Linked DNA regions of Nothobranchius furzeri. The main gene of each other region encodes a partner of the protein of the gene in region 3 in a complex. Links are inferred from orthologs where the notes say so. Each region holds a gene or a part of one and is shown on either strand. Other genes may lie near its edges.

The links. Proteins that work in one complex are often made in the same cells at the same time.
Region 1: KAT8 regulatory NSL complex subunit 1 (region 3) and kansl2 share a complex: the UniProt entries of both Homo sapiens proteins name them as parts of the NSL complex. The link is inferred for Nothobranchius furzeri from reciprocal best matches to the Homo sapiens genes KANSL1 and KANSL2.
Region 2: KAT8 regulatory NSL complex subunit 1 (region 3) and ogt.1 share a complex: the UniProt entries of both Homo sapiens proteins name them as parts of the NSL complex. The link is inferred for Nothobranchius furzeri from reciprocal best matches to the Homo sapiens genes KANSL1 and OGT.

The regions. Positions count from the first base shown.
Region 1 is NC_091755.1:57,561,627-57,565,126, forward strand, and holds part of kansl2 (KAT8 regulatory NSL complex subunit 2), read right to left. Parts: intron 3,449-3,500; coding exon 3,276-3,448; intron 3,148-3,275; coding exon 3,033-3,147; intron 1,909-3,032; coding exon 1,745-1,908; intron 1,665-1,744; coding exon 1,501-1,664; intron 973-1,500; coding exon 876-972; intron 813-875; exon of another isoform or gene 676-812; intron 296-675; coding exon 42-295; intron 1-41. UniProt on the Homo sapiens protein: Non-catalytic component of the NSL histone acetyltransferase complex, a multiprotein complex that mediates histone H4 acetylation at 'Lys-5'- and 'Lys-8' (H4K5ac and H4K8ac) at transcription start sites and promotes transcription initiation.
Region 2 is NC_091741.1:100,483,413-100,486,314, reverse strand, and holds the end of ogt.1 (UDP-N-acetylglucosamine--peptide N-acetylglucosaminyltransferase 110 kDa subunit), read right to left. Parts: coding exon 2,794-2,902; intron 1,711-2,793; coding exon 1,449-1,710; intron 1,322-1,448; coding exon 1,198-1,321; intron 1,122-1,197; coding exon 941-1,121; 3' UTR 501-940; downstream 1-500. UniProt on the Homo sapiens protein: Catalyzes the transfer of a single N-acetylglucosamine from UDP-GlcNAc to a serine or threonine residue in cytoplasmic and nuclear proteins resulting in their modification with a beta-linked N-acetylglucosamine (O-GlcNAc).
Region 3 is NC_091756.1:53,928,245-53,931,866, forward strand, and holds the end of KAT8 regulatory NSL complex subunit 1, read right to left. Parts: intron 3,568-3,622; coding exon 3,510-3,567; intron 3,220-3,509; coding exon 3,107-3,219; intron 3,038-3,106; coding exon 2,785-3,037; intron 932-2,784; coding exon 731-931; 3' UTR 501-730; downstream 1-500. UniProt on the Homo sapiens protein: Non-catalytic component of the NSL histone acetyltransferase complex, a multiprotein complex that mediates histone H4 acetylation at 'Lys-5'- and 'Lys-8' (H4K5ac and H4K8ac) at transcription start sites and promotes transcription initiation.

The sequences.
Region 1 (3,500 bases), on a different chromosome or scaffold from region 3:
TGTGTGTGTGTGTGTGTGTGTGTAAGACAGTTTTAACATACATCACTGAACTCCAGGGGAAGGTTCTCTGTGGGCTGCAGCTCTGCTGCACTCAGGTACATGTCTTTGCCTGCAGGTGTGAAGTGCTCCTGCTGGGGGGGCTCCTGCTCGGGCTGGTACATGAGTGGAGGCAGAGTGAGGTGGAGTGGACAGCGAGGATTGTCAGACTGACCCATGTGGACAACACGATCACACGGAACATCTTTAATTCCTGGACAGATCTTAAAAAGCACCTGACTGCTGTCCTGGTAGATGTCTGACAGTCAGGCTGTCAGGGAAAACGCCTCAGACACAAGTTTAACTCAAGGAGAGAAAAAGATGGATGTTTTAGGCTCAGAAAACATAAGGTTAGTGCAGATGCATGAACTAACCTGGGTAATAGCCTTTTGTTGAGAAACTTGTAACTAACTTTAATTATGAAACATTGGCTGCTATAGATGTAACATTCTGATCAGTGAGCTCATTCATGTACCCATGATGACACTACACACTTTTCCAGCTGGAATAAATCACAACAGCATTTTATCAGTGACTATCACATTACAAAATTCCACTTCCATATGTTCCACTCTATTTGTAGAAAAGTTTGACTCACTGGACGATTCAGGGGTTAGACAAAAGAGGCTTAGGAAAGTATGTTGTTCCTTCCAACTGAAATGATTCGTCCCTTTTACAGTTTGGGGCAACAAATCAACAGACCACAGGAAGGAGTTCATTTAGGCTCCTTTAAAAACGAACAGCTACTGCAAGCTGCTGCTTTAGATCAGGGCCAGGGTTCAGAGAACAGAACCAGAAACAGACAAAGTTCTCATAGTAAAACTAATGGTTAAGGATACGTGAGAGACAGTGTCGAGCCAAGGGCAGGCAGGTGTTGGTACATCTGGTTCCCTCCACAAAAGAGACGCATTTTTCATTTACTGTTTTTGCATGAATCTGCAACAGAAGAGGTTGTAAACATTTGACTCAACAGTCACACTAGATCATTTAAAACAATGCTTTGGTTTTCCTAAAAATGACTCATGGCAGCATTCAAAAATGGCCGAGTTACTCATCCTAGCTAAAGCAGCCTCTGAGTGAGGGACAGGACTATTAACATTTCATGGCACATTAGGAGGGTTTCCACTATCGGAACTTCAGGATAATTTTATCAGATCTTCCCAGCATGTGCATGTCTCCACTTCACCATTTAACGAATCAGTAAACAATAATTCAAGGAATTTAATTAATTAAACCATTTTATTGATTATTTTCAGCCCTACTCATAATCCTGCCCCCTACCTATTAAACTGAAATAATAGGGGTTCTTCAGTATTAAGCAGAGCACCACAAACTCACGGATGAAAACTCAAGATTCAGAGGATAAAGGGAGAAATTGGTTGACTGCATACAGAACAGAAGAGATGGGGAGCTTGTGTGTTTATGGCACACTTTAACTTAGCTGCTCTGTAACCGTGTTCCCACCTGAGGAGCTCCTTCTGTCAAAGCCTGCCTCCTCTCCCTGAGCTGTCGATGAAGAAGGGCTTCTATGCCGTACCGACGACGATATCGACGGAGAGCTTTGAGCTTTTTAAGGTTTTCCCTCTCCTTCAAGGACAAACCTTCTGGTCCTGTCAGGAGGCTACTTCCTGTCAAACATAAATGAATCAAACAGCAACAATGACAAACCACTTCGAACACATTTAATTACAAAGTACCGTAAGTTTACCTAAAGTCTCGTGCTCCACTTTCCGATTATGAAGATATGTGCGCTTTTTCTCCTTGAGCAAATGCTGCAGGCGTTTGAACTGATCGATGTAGAGGGACTGGAGCCTAATGAGCTTTTCTCGAGTGATCAAGGCCACTTCCTCTGCTGTGTAAACTCCTGCATGTCTGCAAATATACAAGAAAACCAGAATAAGAATGAACAAAATCATGATATTTCCTGTAGAAAAATGCAGACTTCAGACACAACTGATCTGAAAGCTTAGCCTGGCCTGCCAGACTCCTCCTCTGTTTAATTCTGCACAGAGAAAGGGTCTGGGAACTCTCCTATTCAAATAACCCCACCCCCTGAGAATTCTAACCGAGCCAATCGGCGCTGAGTAGCGTACGTCACACACCACAATGCCGAGTTTGTTATAAACATGGCGACTGAAGCGGAGTTCGCTGCGGCTCTTTCCTCTGTTCTAAATGACTGGTAGATAGAAGTAGTTGAAGCGCTAAAAGCCTTTCTTCTAAATAAAAAAAACTGATGTTTGCGCTCTCACCAGACGCCTTTTTTACTACAGCTAAATAAACTGCAGCGGCGCGTGGTACAGTCAGCATTTCCGTCTTTATCTGACTGGTTATTTTTGAGCTGCCTAGTCCCGCCCCTCATGTGCGTCTCTGCCTGTGAGTTATCAGACTCTTTCTCTGTGCAGAATTAAATAAACAGAGGACGAGTCTGGCAGGCCAGGCTACTGGAAGCTTCCACAGACTGAGTGACTGGTGTCCGAGCTGAAGATCTTTTTAACGCTTCTTTTGTTGCCGTTTTACTTAAATAATAAATCTCCAGTTCTTGAACATTTTTGTTTGTCTGGATAGACAAGTTTGTCAGTGTTTTCATTATAAAATTTACTTCACCTCACGCTTAGATTACTGCAACTCATCATCACCCTGTCCTTTTTCTGCTCAACCTATTCCACATTTCCCGGGATCCACTGATTTCCCCCCTTTCCTTACATTTTTTAATCACAATTTTTTTTTCTCATTTTAAACATATTATTTAATCACATTTTAAAAATCTTTTTTATAATTAAATTTTTTCTTTTTGTGTAGCACCTTGTAATTTTTATCTCGAGAGGCTCTTTATAAAAGATTGTTTTCTTTCTTTCTTTACTTGGAGAAATTTTTACATGTTTAGCATCCTACCTCATAACAAAAGAAAATAAGCAATGGGTCTATTTACAAAGAAATCCAATCAGTAGAATAAAAATGTGAATTCAGATTGCTGTAGGGTGAGATTTTCATCTTACTTTAGTGGATCTTCATGATCACTGTCAACGCTGTCTGCCTCGCTGTCTGGATCTCCTCTCCACGTCTGGTCAAGAACCAGGGGTCCCTGCTCCTCTTCACTCAGACTTTCTACATCTGTCAAAACAGAGAAGGTGGGGTTTAAAACAGAGATAATATATTAAAACATGCAATATGATGATTCATTGGACTAAAGAGTAAGCGCTTTTACTTGTGTCTTTCCAGGTTAAATCAAGACCTGTTACCGAGAATGCGGCTGGCTTCAGCGCGTCCTCCCTCTAAACTGTATGCCTCTGCACGGTTAGAGCAGCTAAGCTGGGATAACAAAGCCTCTGGAGATGGACCAGCAGAGGACTTTCTCATCTGAGCTTGCAAAGCCATGGCGTTCTTATGGGAATGTTCTGCACAGAATGTCACTCTGGAGAACAAACATGGGGGAAAAAAAAAAGATGTTGGAGTTAAAGGTCTGG
Region 2 (2,902 bases), on a different chromosome or scaffold from region 3:
ATAAATAAAAGTTGTTGCAGGTAAATAAAAGGGGGGTTTCAGTTAATTTTTTCCGTGCTCTTTAACAGAGTACAGATGTAATCAAGACTTTTTTTGTATCTTTTTTATTATATTCAGAGAATTGCAGCTTCACTGACAGCATACAGTTAAACAATATAAAACAAAAATGCTTTAGAAAATACTTACCTATTCCATTCCCTGGTTTGTGTTAAAAAAACAAAATCAAGTTATGAACAGATGGTATTTTAACTGCAACTTGGGTCTTTAAAAAAATAAACAAGCGTCCAATTCATAGACAGCCCAACAAGAACAACTAAAGACATTCCTTAACAGACAAAATAATTCTAATTGGCATTGTGCGAAGGAAGACGTCACTTCCTTAAAACTTGCACATTTACTTGTTGCAGCCATTTAAAAACAGCTTCAACTAAAGAACTGAGGCCATCTGTTCCATAATTTAGGTTAAAGCTGACAAAACGTACTATTTCAATGGTGCAACATTGTCATTTTAAAACACATGACACTTTTAATTTCTAAACAGATCAAGTGAAGACAGTTGGGTATTTTCTCTGCAAGCTGCAATCAGTCCTGTACACACACCGACAGGAGAAGAAGAAAAATCCTCTGATCCAAGAGTTGAAGGGTTCGTGGGGTATTCACTACCTTCTCATGCTCACAAAATACATATTAAGTGTTTTTGGACAAAAGTCTCAGACGAGGAGCCTGAACAATTCAGCCCCAATCTGGCTTAGGATATGCACGTGTGTGGCTTAATAATGCGATGAGTTCAAATGTGAACATGTGTAGGCTCCGTGCAGGAAGGAGTCCGTTTGTAAATAAGACAGTCAATAAAGGACGAAGAACTGGAGTGAAACCCGACCAAATGATGCTGTCGATGATGGTTAAAAACAGTTGGGACTTGGTGGAGAAGGTTTCCAGTTCAGGCATTCTCACTGGTCTCGACCGTATGGAGTTTTACCAAGTGGTCTGGCTTGTTGCCGTTGCTGTGGTGCTCCCACATTTGCAGGTAGAGCTTCTCCAGGTCCATTGTGTACTGTTTAGTGTTGAACAAGGGGCTGCAGATCCGCTGCTTCCAAACGCGTGCTCTGATCATCTTAAGGCTGTGGGAGGAAAACCTATTTGAGCCAAAGTTCCTTCAGAAAAGAGAATTAAATGATTTGACAATTATTTTCTTACTACTCCATGTCGGAGCCCAGCTTGACTGCTATGTCTTCATATTCCTGGCGACTTTGGGCAATCAGCTCAGGGCAGCCCAGACAGCCGAGTTGTGAGGCAGCCACGCGGGAGGCAAGAGTCTCACCTACAGGAAGGTTAATGCAGATTTAATAAACAAGATTTGTGAAAATGCACTCTAAACGTTTGCTCTGAAGTTGTTAAACACTTGAGTAAGTTCAGGAAGCCAAGAGATGGTTTTTCTTAATTCCCACCTTCCTCACCTGGCATGGTTACCATGGGAGTTCCAGCCCAAAGGACATCCATGCCTGTAGTGTGACCATTGCACAGAGGGGTGTCCAGGCACACATCAGCCAGCTGGCCTCTCCTCACATGCTCCTCCTTAGGCGCCACAGGAGAGAAAATGATGCGAGAGGCAGGCAGGCCCATGTTCTGAGCATACTGCTGGATGTTGGGCTCGCCAACAGCAGGGAAGCGAAGAAGCCACAACACACTGTTGGGCACACGCTTCAGGATCTGCAGCAACAGGATGAAAATAGACTAAACACAAGCTTATGGAATTAAGTTTTGCTCCCAGCTGAATATGGACCACTCAGAACAGTAGGGCTGAACGATTTTAGAAAAAGATTGAATTGCAATTATTCTAGCAGAAATTGCGATTTCGGTTCAATTCACGATTTTCTGCAAACAAAGTCCCAAAATTAGCCTGCCAGGGCATCCTGTAGATTAAGTGAAAAGATGGTCTAGATTCTAATCTAGTAAACAACTCATTCCCATTAATATTTACTGTTTAATCATACAATAAAAAAAGTTAAAGCTACTTATATTTTGTCCCATTCTTATCTTTTTGTTTATTTTCTATTGTGTTTGTGCTTGTGATTTTTATCTAGAGGAGCTTTATTAAAACAGTTCTACTCCAAAAATGCATGGAGGAAATCTGCAGGTAGAAATAGCTTTTAAATGTATTAAATAACAAAAATTGCAGTTTTCCCTGCATTACCGAGGCAGGCTGGCTGCACGTTTTTGAAGCCGTCTGATAGTTTTTCCTCACTAAAACGTTTGTTCCGTGAGAGACGCACGCATTCTGACACCTTAGCTTGTTTGAACTAACGTGTGCTGTCAGAAACATTCAAACCATTTTTAAAAGAGAAGTTGAACTTTTAAGTCAACTACAGTGCGCGACTCCGCGCTCGCGCTGATGAAGCATAAACCAAGCTTTAGAAGTCAGCCTGAACCTGCTGATGTGGGAGGAGTCTTTCTCTCCCTTACTCAACTGCGTTCTCTCTCGTCCCGGGCTCGCCATTATTATGGGCTCTAGCAGCGCTGTGTGTGGAAACATAAAACAGGAAAATAACCTGAACATGCAGCTCTGTCAGCTGTGGAGCTGGGCTCCCCCCTCCCCCGCGCTGGCCTTTGCCGCCGCCATAACACAGGGGAAAACCCCAGATGTAAAAAAAAGTTACACAACTGATCCTGGATCAGTCAAAACCGCTAAAACCGCAGCTTTGACGGTCATGTGATCGTACTGTTTGAAATCGCAATTTCAGTCCAAAAACAATAGATCGTTCAGCCCTGTAGAACACCATCTGTTTGACATACGTTGGCCCACATCTGGAGGGTAGGAGGGTCAATCTTGTACAGCTGGTTGAAGTTGCAGTAGACAATGGAGTCCTCTGGGAGACCATACTGGGAGCGGGTCGTCACTACA
Region 3 (3,622 bases):
GCCAGGCAAGTGCTTCTAAATAAACCCCAAACACTGCTCCTGGCCTGTATGGTGCCAACCTGGGGGTCAAACAGGAACTCCAGAGACAACAGGAATGATTTACAACACAAAATATGTATTACTGAGCAGACAGAACAGGATTAACAAAACGTGTCGGGAATGAGAAAACAAACAAAGCAAACCAGCAAAACTACACTTGGCAGTAGAAGAAGTGCTCTGGTGATTTCAGGCGACCTCTAGAGGGAGGAGGAGGAACAACATCTCAAATGTACCTGCTCATCTGGTGGAGAGGGAAAGGGAGATTTTTTTTTTTCATGTTTTGTTTTTTGTCACTCCACTAAAAATGTACATGGGGATTTACAAGCAGACTAGTCAATAGAAAACACCCTTTGGCCACGTTTGGAGGAGTCGGCTACATAGTGCGCTACAAGTGTACACGCGACGCTGAAACACCACTAAGCCCCATGTACATTGTTTAGCCTCTACTACACGATCACTTCCTGCAATGTGTTGTTTTATAGTCCGTTTTTTTTAACATTTATCTTGTTTTGTGACAAAAACAAGTGTGGGGAAAGGCTTCTATCTCCATAATGTTCACTAAAAACTGTGAAAAGTTTAGACTGATGTTTGAATATCAAACAACAGGAACCCATTTAACATCCTTGTCAGCGTTGAGGTTCTGCTTGTTAATGCCAGAGAGGGGCCGAGCCGAGGCCCGCCTGTCCATCACTCATCGGTGGGCGGAGGCCCGGAACTTGGAGACACTGTCGTCGTCGCAGGCCAGCTCAGGGTCGTCCGAGTCCAGACGTGCATAGGCTGTTGCTCGGCAACCGGAGATGGTGCGCATTCTGGGCCTGATGTGGTCGGTTTCGGGCTCGGGAGCCGGGTCTTCTTGAAGAGGGAAGCTGCGACGCTCCCATGGTGCCACCGTCTGAAATCGTGCAACAATAAGACATTTTAGAAGGAGGCATGTTTAGAAGGATCCTCCAGTTCGGATATCTAGCGTTTATTGGGATGACATGGAAGGTTTAGATGGTGAGAGTTAGATCGAACCACAGGTTTGGGTTGAGGACCCATCAGGACTGGTCTAGTGCTGCAGGGTCAGGTTCTGATCATCCAAACAGACCCAGAACACATGATTCTAATCTCAGATGAAGCCTCTTCCTGTTTCTAAACATTTGTAGTTTGAAATTATGGATTTCAGACCTGTTAGAAGTTGTGTGTGTGTGTGTGTGTGTGTGTGTGTGTGTGTGTGTGGTATTAGTAGAAATGGTGGTGGTAGTAGTTCACTTTATTAAAGACACAAATATGTCCGTATCACAAGGTTTAAAATAAGGTGGGGAGAAAAAAAAAGTGTTAAAAGCCTAAATTGACACTGAAACATTAATGATTCCATATTTCACAATCATTCCTAATAGGGAGCCTCATGCCAGATCACATCAGCTGCAAAGCGCCACGTCACTCAAAGTTCGCACACTGCCCGCTGCTCCTCTTTTCACATCAGGCGAGAATTTTTGATGAGCCCTTTTGCTCACGCCTACGGTTTTTTTTAAACACCCCCACCCCTGTGCCCTTGCTGTGTGTGTGTGTGTGTGTGTGTGTGTGTGTGTGTAACCAGTTGACCCCACTTGTTGATATCAAAAACTGAGCTGATCCTGCTGCTGTTTCTAAATTATTAAGTAAATAACTAGTGTTTGTGGTTGTGTACAATGCTTTGTATGAAACGTATTTGTTTGTGTTCACATTTATTACATCTTTTTGCTGTAAAAACTGCATTAAAATTATAGAAACGCCATGTTTCTCTGCAGGAGTGTGTGTTTGTGTGTTCATTTTCATCTCTCAAATATTTAGATACGCAAAAATTGTCACTTATCAGTATTTACTTTGAAAAATGTCCATTTTGTTAGAATTTACTGGCCTGCCTCCTGTTTTGGTTTCGACTTAGTCGCAAACAAATGAGCACACGCCATGACGATCTCTGGACGGCGTGCTTTGCGGCTGACGTGAGCGAGAAAGTAGATTAACAAGGGCGCAAAATAGAAGCGCTCTTCATTCCTTTGTGGTGCATTTTCGTGTCCAGGCGTAGGTCGTGCCCATCTATTTCCCCGGAACAACTAAAACATGAATGCAAGTCAGTAGGGCTAAAAACATTATTTTCTATTCTTGCTTGTTATGTACTATGGGTGTCAAATACGATGTCCGTGAATTCTAAAGACACATTTTAATACAGAGAACGTGTTTATTTTGGAACGGGGGAAATTGCCATTTTAGGTTTTGTGTGAATGCGCTTCACAAAAGTGACATCATCACACATGACACAGAAAAACAGGAAAATGGGAAGTTCAGCAACCTTCAAGTCTTTCTGTCAGGAGGAAAGAACCACCATAAATCTGGCCACCTAGCAGCTACGTTAGGGGAGAGAGGATTCTGTGGAGACGTCATTAATGTGACGTGCCGATGTCTGATTTTTAGTCATGCTAATTACAAACTTTAACAAGCTTATACATAAAAGTCCCTGACAGGCGTGGTCGAAACACACATTACTATGCATTTAAAACAAAGTATAACATATAAGCGATCCAGGGCGTAAGGCAAAGCGGATTAGAAAACAGCTTTTTTAGCCCCGTTGACTTGCATTCATTTTATCGTTCTTCTGGGGACCCACGACAGGGAGGAGACAGGCTCCCCATATCAATCACACACTGTGTATTTTAAATGATAAAGCTTAGCTATAGGCGGAGTTTCTAGAAAACAACTGGTTCTGATATAGGTGGTGCCACACACCCGTTCCTCAAAGGTGAAGTCAGGCGTCGAGCAGCGTGTGTCCTCGTTGGACAGCAGTCGGTGCGAGTCCCTGGAGCAGGGTGTGTGGGGGTTGGAGGACGCATCAGGGCTGGCTGGACTCATGGGTGATGGCACATGGCTGTAGTCATGGAGACTGGGGCAGTGACCTGGGTCTGGGGACGCGGGCTGTGGGGTGGGAGGGTTCGTCCCATACAGGAGCGGTGTGGTCCGTCCATCCACCGATTTATAGGACCTGAAAGACAGTGAAGGGTCAGACCTGCAGAAGGACATAGCAGGAACGGTGATCTGGACCAGGACTCACCTGCTGCCCCTCCTCTTAGCAGGAGCCAGAGCCATCCAGGTCCAGCGGGACCGCTCCTGGTCCTCGTAGGGCTGATGAAGCTGGATGAAGGCTGCATCTGAGAGGTCCTCCACCTGCAGGATCACAACAATCCAACAGTTCATCGTCATCATTTTGTTTCACACCGAGATAAAAACATAAAAAATGTAAACCACTTCTGGACTTGCCACCATCCAAACTAACAGCAGATCCAGATGTTCATGCAGCTCTTTCTTCCTATGAATCATAATTTTGACCACCAGGTGTCCCTGTTCACTCACAGCTACATATTTACACCAACATTACCATTCATTTCTTTTTTTCCCACCTTCAATCAAACTACATCAGTTCAAAGGAACCAGAACAAAACAGGAAGTGGACCCACCTCGCGCTCGTCCTCCTCTTCAGTTATGGGCAAACAGAAAACATCCACAGATCTCCAACTAAAGGAACAGAAAACAGTCAGCCCCAGAACTCCCATCAGAGCCAGAACCACAC